Linked DNA regions of Oreochromis niloticus. The protein of the gene in region 2 binds, or shares a complex with, the protein of the main gene of each other region. Links are inferred from orthologs where the notes say so. Each region holds a gene or a part of one and is shown on either strand. Other genes may lie near its edges.

What was found.
Region 1: the proteins of etfb (region 2) and etfa are in contact, whole or in part, in a crystal structure (PDB 2A1U), measured with the Homo sapiens proteins. The link is inferred for Oreochromis niloticus from reciprocal best matches to the Homo sapiens genes ETFB and ETFA. Residues at the interface, in NP_001976.1 of Homo sapiens: Ile14, Tyr16, Val18, Ile20, Val22, Val29, Thr31, Phe41, Leu102, Arg106, Lys124, Gln125, Ile127, Asp128, Asp129, Asp130, Cys131, Asn132, Gln133, Gln136, Met137, Ala139, Gly140, Phe141, Asp143, Trp144, Pro145, Gln146, Thr148, Phe149; in NP_000117.1 of Homo sapiens: Glu27, Leu88, Pro89, Glu90, Ser113, Ala114, Phe115, Lys117, Asn118, Pro121, Arg122, Ala124, Ala125, Lys126, Glu128, Val129, Ala130, Pro131, Ile132, Ser133, Arg146, Thr147, Ile148, Tyr149, Ala150, Gly151, Asn152, Ala153, Leu154, Cys155.

Annotation. Positions count from the first base shown.
Region 1 is NC_031972.2:52,800,844-52,804,765, forward strand, and holds the start of etfa (electron transfer flavoprotein subunit alpha, mitochondrial), read right to left. Parts: upstream 3,036-3,922; 5' UTR 2,917-3,035; coding exon 2,878-2,916; intron 1,185-2,877; coding exon 1,035-1,184; intron 530-1,034; coding exon 448-529; intron 98-447; coding exon 15-97; intron 1-14. UniProt on the Homo sapiens protein: Heterodimeric electron transfer flavoprotein that accepts electrons from several mitochondrial dehydrogenases, including acyl-CoA dehydrogenases, glutaryl-CoA and sarcosine dehydrogenase.
Region 2 is NC_031976.2:28,323,459-28,327,380, reverse strand, and holds the start of etfb (electron transfer flavoprotein subunit beta), read right to left. Parts: upstream 2,798-3,922; 5' UTR 2,695-2,797; coding exon 2,641-2,694; intron 1,223-2,640; coding exon 1,064-1,222; intron 760-1,063; coding exon 601-759; intron 481-600; coding exon 418-480; intron 1-417. UniProt on the Homo sapiens protein: Heterodimeric electron transfer flavoprotein that accepts electrons from several mitochondrial dehydrogenases, including acyl-CoA dehydrogenases, glutaryl-CoA and sarcosine dehydrogenase.

The DNA.
Region 1 (3,922 bases), on a different chromosome or scaffold from region 2:
CTACTGTGATTTACCTTTCCAAAAGCTGAGGCACCAGCACAGATGTGAGTGAAGTTGAATTGCTTTTGTGTCTGCAGGATAAGTGGAGTCAACTCCTCTAATAAAACAAACAAATCAGAATCAGCATAATTTATTAATCCTTAAGGAAATTATGTGGGCTACAGTTGCTCCAATACAGTAACATTAACAGAAACAGACTAGACTGTTTAACAATACAATATGTTACAGATTTAGGAAATAGCACAATACATACAAATTACTCAATAACAAATAGTCCGATAGCAGAAACAACATTAGGCAGATGGCATACCGCAAATGCTGTGACACCTGTTCTTAATCTCTTAACCATATGAGCGGTTAATTAAACACATTATTACTCTCTGTGCAAGTTAATTACCACATCACTCAGAGACTGGCAAATATTGAAAAAAGAAGCGCCAATAATACCTGGTAGGCCACCTTTGTAAGAATCATGTTGGGCCACCAGGACCTTCTTCACACCTTTCACTTTGCTGATTTCCTCTGCAACCTGAAAACACAGAAAAGACATCCAACTTTCTTTGTGCATATCTTTGTGTACAGCAAAATACACACTACAACATCCTACTCCAAAAGTGAAGCACAAACACACCAAAAATAGCAGAGGTGATCCATGCCTGCCTTTGTTGTGTTTTGTTTTACTTTGGTGTTTAATAAAGGGGGGAGGGAAGCTGATGATTCCATGATTGTACTTTTACATTAAACCCAACCAATTTCAGCTCTGGAGAGCTAGGAGAAGTCCTGAATAAAGCCTGTCCTACTGTGCCTGTGGCAGCAGGAGTGAGTCTGTAACTTTATCAGCGCACCACCACTCTTGTCAGAACCAGATTTCCTGCAATCAGCCGCTTTTATTGCACCCTTAACAAGTTTGTCATCAGTTTAACTAATATTTACTTTACGTTTGCTCCGTAATGGCAACACAATCTTTCGTCATTTTAGTTATTCCATTTACATGCACGCACACACATACTCTGCACATCAAAAGCTTTACCTACCTTTGCACAGTTTGTTCCAGCGACCAGACAGGACACCTCTCCTCCCACTTTAGTAGCAGCCGTGATGGCATTGAGGGTAATAGGAGTTAATTTTTCATTGTTGTGTTCTGCAATGACCAAGGTGCTTTGAAACCTCTGCAGGAGACCAGTCTGAAAACACAATCAGTCAAAATGATAATATATCACTGTTTTGTTAGTTCTGCTGCCTAAAGAGGTTTAAAAATAAAATACATGCTTGGTAACATATGAATGTTTCTGTATTCTTATCAAATTTGTTTTTCATTTGAAAAAAAAAAAAAAAAAAAGATAGATACTGCCACCTAAAATTGACCACAGACACCATAATCATCACAGTACAATCATCTTGAAGTAGTGTTGAGCAGAAAAGCTGAATTCACTTTATCTTCATTTCTACCACACAATCCAATGTCATAAATATCTGCTGACCAATTTCATGTGTTTAAGAGTGAGCAGTAAAATTGTATAACAGGCAAATGTCCTACATAATAATTTTTACCTAATGCTTTACCTGTGTTTATACATGCATTATTTAGAATAAATGGTTGTGCATTAAATATTTTGATACAGAGTCTGAGATCATCTTTAGAAATAAATGCTGTGGGAAGGTGCACACATAATGTCAGGATAGAGGGTAAACAATTTTCGGTGCAGCCTCTAAAACGGCTGCATCTGGCTCAGTCAAAGTAAAACAGGATGCTGCCAGCCTCATCTGGACATGACCTCACACGGTTAATCAGCCATGTGACGCAAAGGTCATTCAGATAAAGACCAGCAAATGGAGAAAAAGGACAGGCCATGTCAACTCAACCAGGGGTTCCCACAAAACAGTGCTGTGAAAAAGATTATATGCACAATGCACAATAGAGCACTCCCAAAGGTTACACAGGACAGAAAATTATAGTTTCCACCTGAATTAAATGACAGATTTGAGTTTCATAAACTGTCTTCATGAAATAATCTACTATGAGTTCAAGTTTCTGTCAGGTTTGATGTATTTCAAAGGATTTGTGTCAGATCCAAACAATTTTAATAATGCATCCATAATATACACATGAAAAATAATACAAAACATTTTGCATAACTTTATAAATACCTTGTGATCAATAAATACTAAAAACACTTCCTCAATTCTTGTACTTTACGGCAGTGCAGGTTGGACCTGTGCAGTTTCAAGGTGATATAGGTGGTTTAATTTGGCAGAGACTGGCCTTTGAAGCTAGATCCAGCTAGTTATTTTTGACATAATGAGTAAAATAATTAAGAAATTTCTAAGTAACCCTTCCAAATTCTCACTAACTATGGTAGAGCCTGTAAAGGGGGAGGGGGGGCGCGGGGGGGGGGGGGGGGGGGGAATAAAAACTGATTGGATAACAGGGAGAAGCCCAAAATACACAAAACATATGAAAACTACATTTTCCTACCAACCTATTGCCTACACATCTCACCAGACATATGTATTTTTAATTTTGACTCTTTGGTAACACCTGCAAGTGGCAGTTTCGTAACCGTTTCATAAGCATGAGGCTAGCCAGGCTAGCACTAACTAGCTTTCGTTCCAAAAATATTAACTCCTTTTTGAGCTATTTCACAAAGTAGAGATAGTATGCAGACTTATTGTCGCATTATGTTAACTAATACTGCCACATGTGTGAATTCCTTGTAGCACACTTGCGTCTAGAAACGACAATGATCCGGGTAATGTGTAGCTAAGTCATAAAGCAAGCTAGTAGCTGCTGCAAAGAAACCAGAGTTTACTGTTAAAAACTGATTTAACCGATTAATGCAATGCCTCACTGTAAGTTAGTGTCAGCGTTCTTCTTACCAAATGTTTCAGATTTGATTTGTTAAGAGCTCTGTTCATCTTGGACCCCGAAAGCTACAGCTCCCTTCCAGTCCTGCAGACACAAAACTGTGCCAAAGGTCATCTGACGTCGGCGAGGAATTCTCGCGAGATAGCTTCGATCAAGAACCGCAACTTCCGGCCAACGCTCTCGCTCTCCCTCTCTCCCTCTATCTCTCTCTCTCTGTGAAGTTTAATCATATTGACAGAAATATCAAACACCAAAATAAATAAATAAACAGAATCTTTCATTTTTGTTTTGTTTTGTTTTGGGTTTGGTTTTTTTTTTGGGGGGGGGTTCGTATTAAGTTAATGTTTGCTTTCCTCTTCAAATCAAGCAGGAGCACATTTAACTCTGATTGGAGATCCTCCGCTATGCAAGTGCTGTGTAGAGAAAACGCAAAATGACAAAAATAAAGAAAAGTAGAATACATTTCGAGACAGACAGAAAGAATACATTTTGAATAAATATTGTCAAATGTTACCGAGATATATTTGAGAAGCTTTTTTTTGTGTGTAGTTTGAGAAGTGAAAAGAAAGTGAAAGAAAGTTTTTGTCCCCTCACTTTTTTTTTTAACACAAATTAGCTATAACATTAAAAAAAACTACTTGCAACATGAAATTAGCAATATCTATAAACTCTATGTGCAGTACATCAGTTCCATTCTGTGCACTGGGACTATGTCAAACTACATTGTTTCTTACAGTGTAATCCTCTGCTGGGTCCTGAAATTGAGGCAAATGTTACAGGTGACATGTAACATCAACCTGAACCCTCAGTGTGACTTGTTGGGGAGTTACAACTTGACTTAATGTAACTGCTCGATGGCAGTCGATGGCCTTCTCCAGCATACCTCTGCAGAAGAAAACCTCCAGGGGCATTAGAAAGCCCAAGAGACTGACCCAACTAGAGAAATCCCCTTATCCCAACGAGAGCAATGATCAACCAGTGTCCTTAAACTATTACTTTAAATCTTATAATGGCCAATACTGACTAATGGGATCAGAAGAAATGTAACTAGTACAT
Region 2 (3,922 bases):
TCATGTATGCAACCCAAATTTAGAAATAATTTTTGCCATTTACATTACAATATCTGTCTATCCAAGTGCCCAACCTGGACACTGTAAATAAGATTAAAGTGCTCTGTTTTGGCCAGCCAAAGAAGAACTTCACTCCATCTATCCAGGCAGCCTTTGACTTTGGCTTTGTTGATATGTGCAAGATTACTGTAGATCTTACTGACTCAAACTAGCTTTTACCAACTTTGATAAGGTTAGTGAAGGCTATTGGGAACAGGAACATATCCTCTTATCATTACTGTTATACAACACAGATGAAGAAACAGAAAACATAGAAACTTAATCTACAAAAAAAGAGAACAAAAGAAAGAAAATAAACTAATACCTACATAATTATAGGGTCAAATATCTCAGCGCTACTATTTAAGGTAGTCTTACCTGAGGCCAGTCCAGTAAAGCTGCTGTCATCTGGCCAGTCTGATTGCAATCATCATCGATGGCCTATGAAATAAACACAAGTCCTTAATTACTTAACAGCAGTGCAAGTATTCTTTAGAGTATGGAAACTAAGAATGCAATTTGAGAGAGTGTGAGGAAAATAAACTATCTGAAATCTTTAACCTGTTTGCCAAGGAGAATAAGCTGAGCATCCTCCTGTTTGGCAAGAGCTGCCAGGATCTTAGAGACCTGAAGGGGTCCCAGGTTTTCATAGTCTTTCCCACTCACGTCCACATGAATGCCACGGTCAGCCCCCATGGCAAGGGCAGTACGGATGGTCTCCTGAGTTAGAAAAAACACATGTAAGAGAACTTTTCTTTGGCTTGATGTTTGATGACAACCCTGAAATTATAATTGTTGATAACCTTAAACATATTAAAAATACATTTATGTAAACATCATAATAATCACTTTCTGCTTACAGTGAGTCTGACAGGTTATATGCATGGGATTTCAAAAGTTATTTTACATGTAAAATAATACACCTGAAAAAAAAGGTATATATATGTATCAACTTGCAGCAGCTCCAAAGAACTCCAAAAATCAGTTAACTTGCTAAATTACTGTCTCGCCCCAGCTCATTCACCTGCGACTGCTGTGGCCCACAGCTGACAGCCACAACCTCCTTAATAAGCTTCTTCTCCTTCAGCTTGACCGCCTCCTCCACAGCAATCTCACAGAAGGGGTTCATTGAGTGCTTAACGCCATCTGTCACCACGCCAGTGTTGTCTGGCTTCACACGGATCTGTGGAGAAACAAAACAATAACACAGGGTCACTACAGGGGAGCTAAATTAAAGAAACAAACACAATGACAGAAACTTAGAAATGAACTGAGCCAATACAAGGTGTTAAAAGGGTAAATACATCCAGTGATGGATATTTAAACAGATTTAATGTAGCTGGCAGAAAACCTTTAACTAATCTTATCTTTTTTTAAAAATTGGTCTGTAATGATCAATTCTAACACCACTGGAATTGATGTGCTACTATAATCACTTCTACTCTTTTGGAAAGTCACAAAGGTAGCACTGGTGCTGGCACTGGGTAATAAGGCCTTGCTTTAATGTGGTTAAGGTGTAATGTGCTGTTGCGACTTCCAGCAGCACATTGCACACTTTTGGAGCTGCTGCGACTTCCATGCCAAATTCTGAAAAAGTATATACATCTCAATGGACTAGAGAGGGTGTTGAGGAAAAGGTCTTCCTCAAGTGTGGCTAGGATACTTGCAGTATATTAATGTTTTTTACTGTCATTGTATGACAATAAAAAACATTTAATTAATGTTTGTTTTTTTTTTAATTTAAGAAAAAAAATAAGAAAACCTAGTGGCTTTAACGTTTCTGTGAATGGACCTTGCTATAAAGTCAATATAATGCAACTTCACTTATACAGAACACTTGCCAGTTAAAAATTCAATTCTTGCAGTAATCAGTCAGTCATATAAAACACGAGTGATAAAATATAAAATAACATGAGAACACTTAATCTGAAATTACAAGCAGGCGTGGGCATTTCCCCAAACTGCACACAATTTAAAATGGGAAAAAATAAATAAATAAAGCCGATACTCTGACTAAGTACTGACACCTCTACCTATCAGACCGCTGAGGATATTGTAATCACAGTCGTTTTGGCACTGTGCAGATCCTGCTGAGAGCAGCTGAGGCAGGACTGTTCTTGCTGCAACATACACCAGCTAGTATTGCTTATTGATTATGGTGCTGTCCCTCAACTGAAGGGTAATGTTAAAAAGTAAAAGAATATTCCCATTTGAATACCGGTTCCTGCAACATACACGCCTGTCTTACAAACTACTTTAAAATCTGCGAAAGTCACTGCCCAATTTGCATGGAAGTCATTCCAGAGGTTCAAACAGACATGTTATACAACTTGCAAGAAGTCGTTTGCTGCCCTGCTAAACACAAACTCAGCTTCTCAGTATTGTGCATTAAATAAGTGAATACATTAATTTGGCTAGAGACAAACAACTTATCTGTCAAAATAATATGACCGGTCAGTGGTGTGGTGTTGCTCTGGTTTTCCACAACCGACGATTTTAGGCTAACATTAGCTAGCAGAGCACAGAATGTCAAATAAGTGAGCAAAGAAAAATACCTTTAAAAGCGCGAAAGAAAATAGGTAATTTGACTTCAGATATTACCTTAACTGCATAGTCAATGACACGCTTAACTCCGACGAGAACACGGCCAGACATTGTAGCTGAAACGTTTAAATAAAACAGACAGCTAGCGTTACACAGTCACCGCAATGAACCTTCACTCAAGAAGCAGTCGGAATTATTTCAGGGTGAAACCAGAGGAGGGACTGAAGTGACCGCCCCCCACTCTAGCCAATGAAATGCTGGCATTATCCAGCGTTGTAGGTTACGATTGGCTGTAGTGTGTGTAAGTTGGTTGCTAAACTCAACAAAAAGTCGCCGGTCGCCGCAATTTCGTTGACTGAATAACAGTTCGAGCTTACTGCGATTGTTGGTGAATGAGTCTTATATCACTTCCAATACTATCGTAATGATTGTCTTATTGATCAACTTGCTTAAAATAGGTAAATTACCGTAAACCACATACGAATCATACGGTGCTCCTCATATCTATGTCATAAACAAAACCCAGAGAAGAAAAGTTCCGCTTATATGGGGCAAAGGTCATGAATAACAGAGTGACATGATGAGGATCATATTGAGTGTCAAACGATTACTTAAGAGATTTATGATGACTTTATTTTTTATTTTTAGATTAGTGTTTTAATCATGCAATCACATTTCTTTTAATGTTCAAGCTAAGTGTGAAATGTGTTGACAGGTCATGTTATTTACTGTATTTTTATATTACATGTACTGTATATTCTGTTAAACCAGCCGTGGGCTTGGGGGGGGGGCACTGGGGACCACAAGTCAGTGTACTCCTAGTGCCAGTCCCTGGCTAAATGGGTCGGGTTAGATCAAGAAGGCCATCCAACATAAAATTTTTACCAAATCAAGCATGCGGACCATTAACAATGCTATTTACATGCAGGTTTAAAACAAGATCCTCTGGTGCTGTTGCCATCAAGGTGCCAATAGAAACTGTGCTACTAGTGGCCGGAGACAAAGAAACAGGAGAGGGGAAGGCATGTTCAGAGCCAACAAGAGAGAAAGATAGGGGGAATGAGGTGAGTGTGTGATTGTGAAAGCGAAAGAGCTGGCCGATATAATGAAGAGAAGGAAGGTAGATATATTGCGTTTACAGGAGACCAGGTGGAAGGGAACGATGGCCAGACAGATGACAGATGAGGTCAGGCAAGAGTCTCAGTGGACTATAACATTATAGTCTTAATGATAAAGTTATGAGAGAGTAAGGAGCAGGTGGAAGAGAGCCTGGAGAGGTGAAGATCTGTTCTGGAGAGAAGAGGAACGAAAGTTTATAGAACTGAGATATAATATGTGT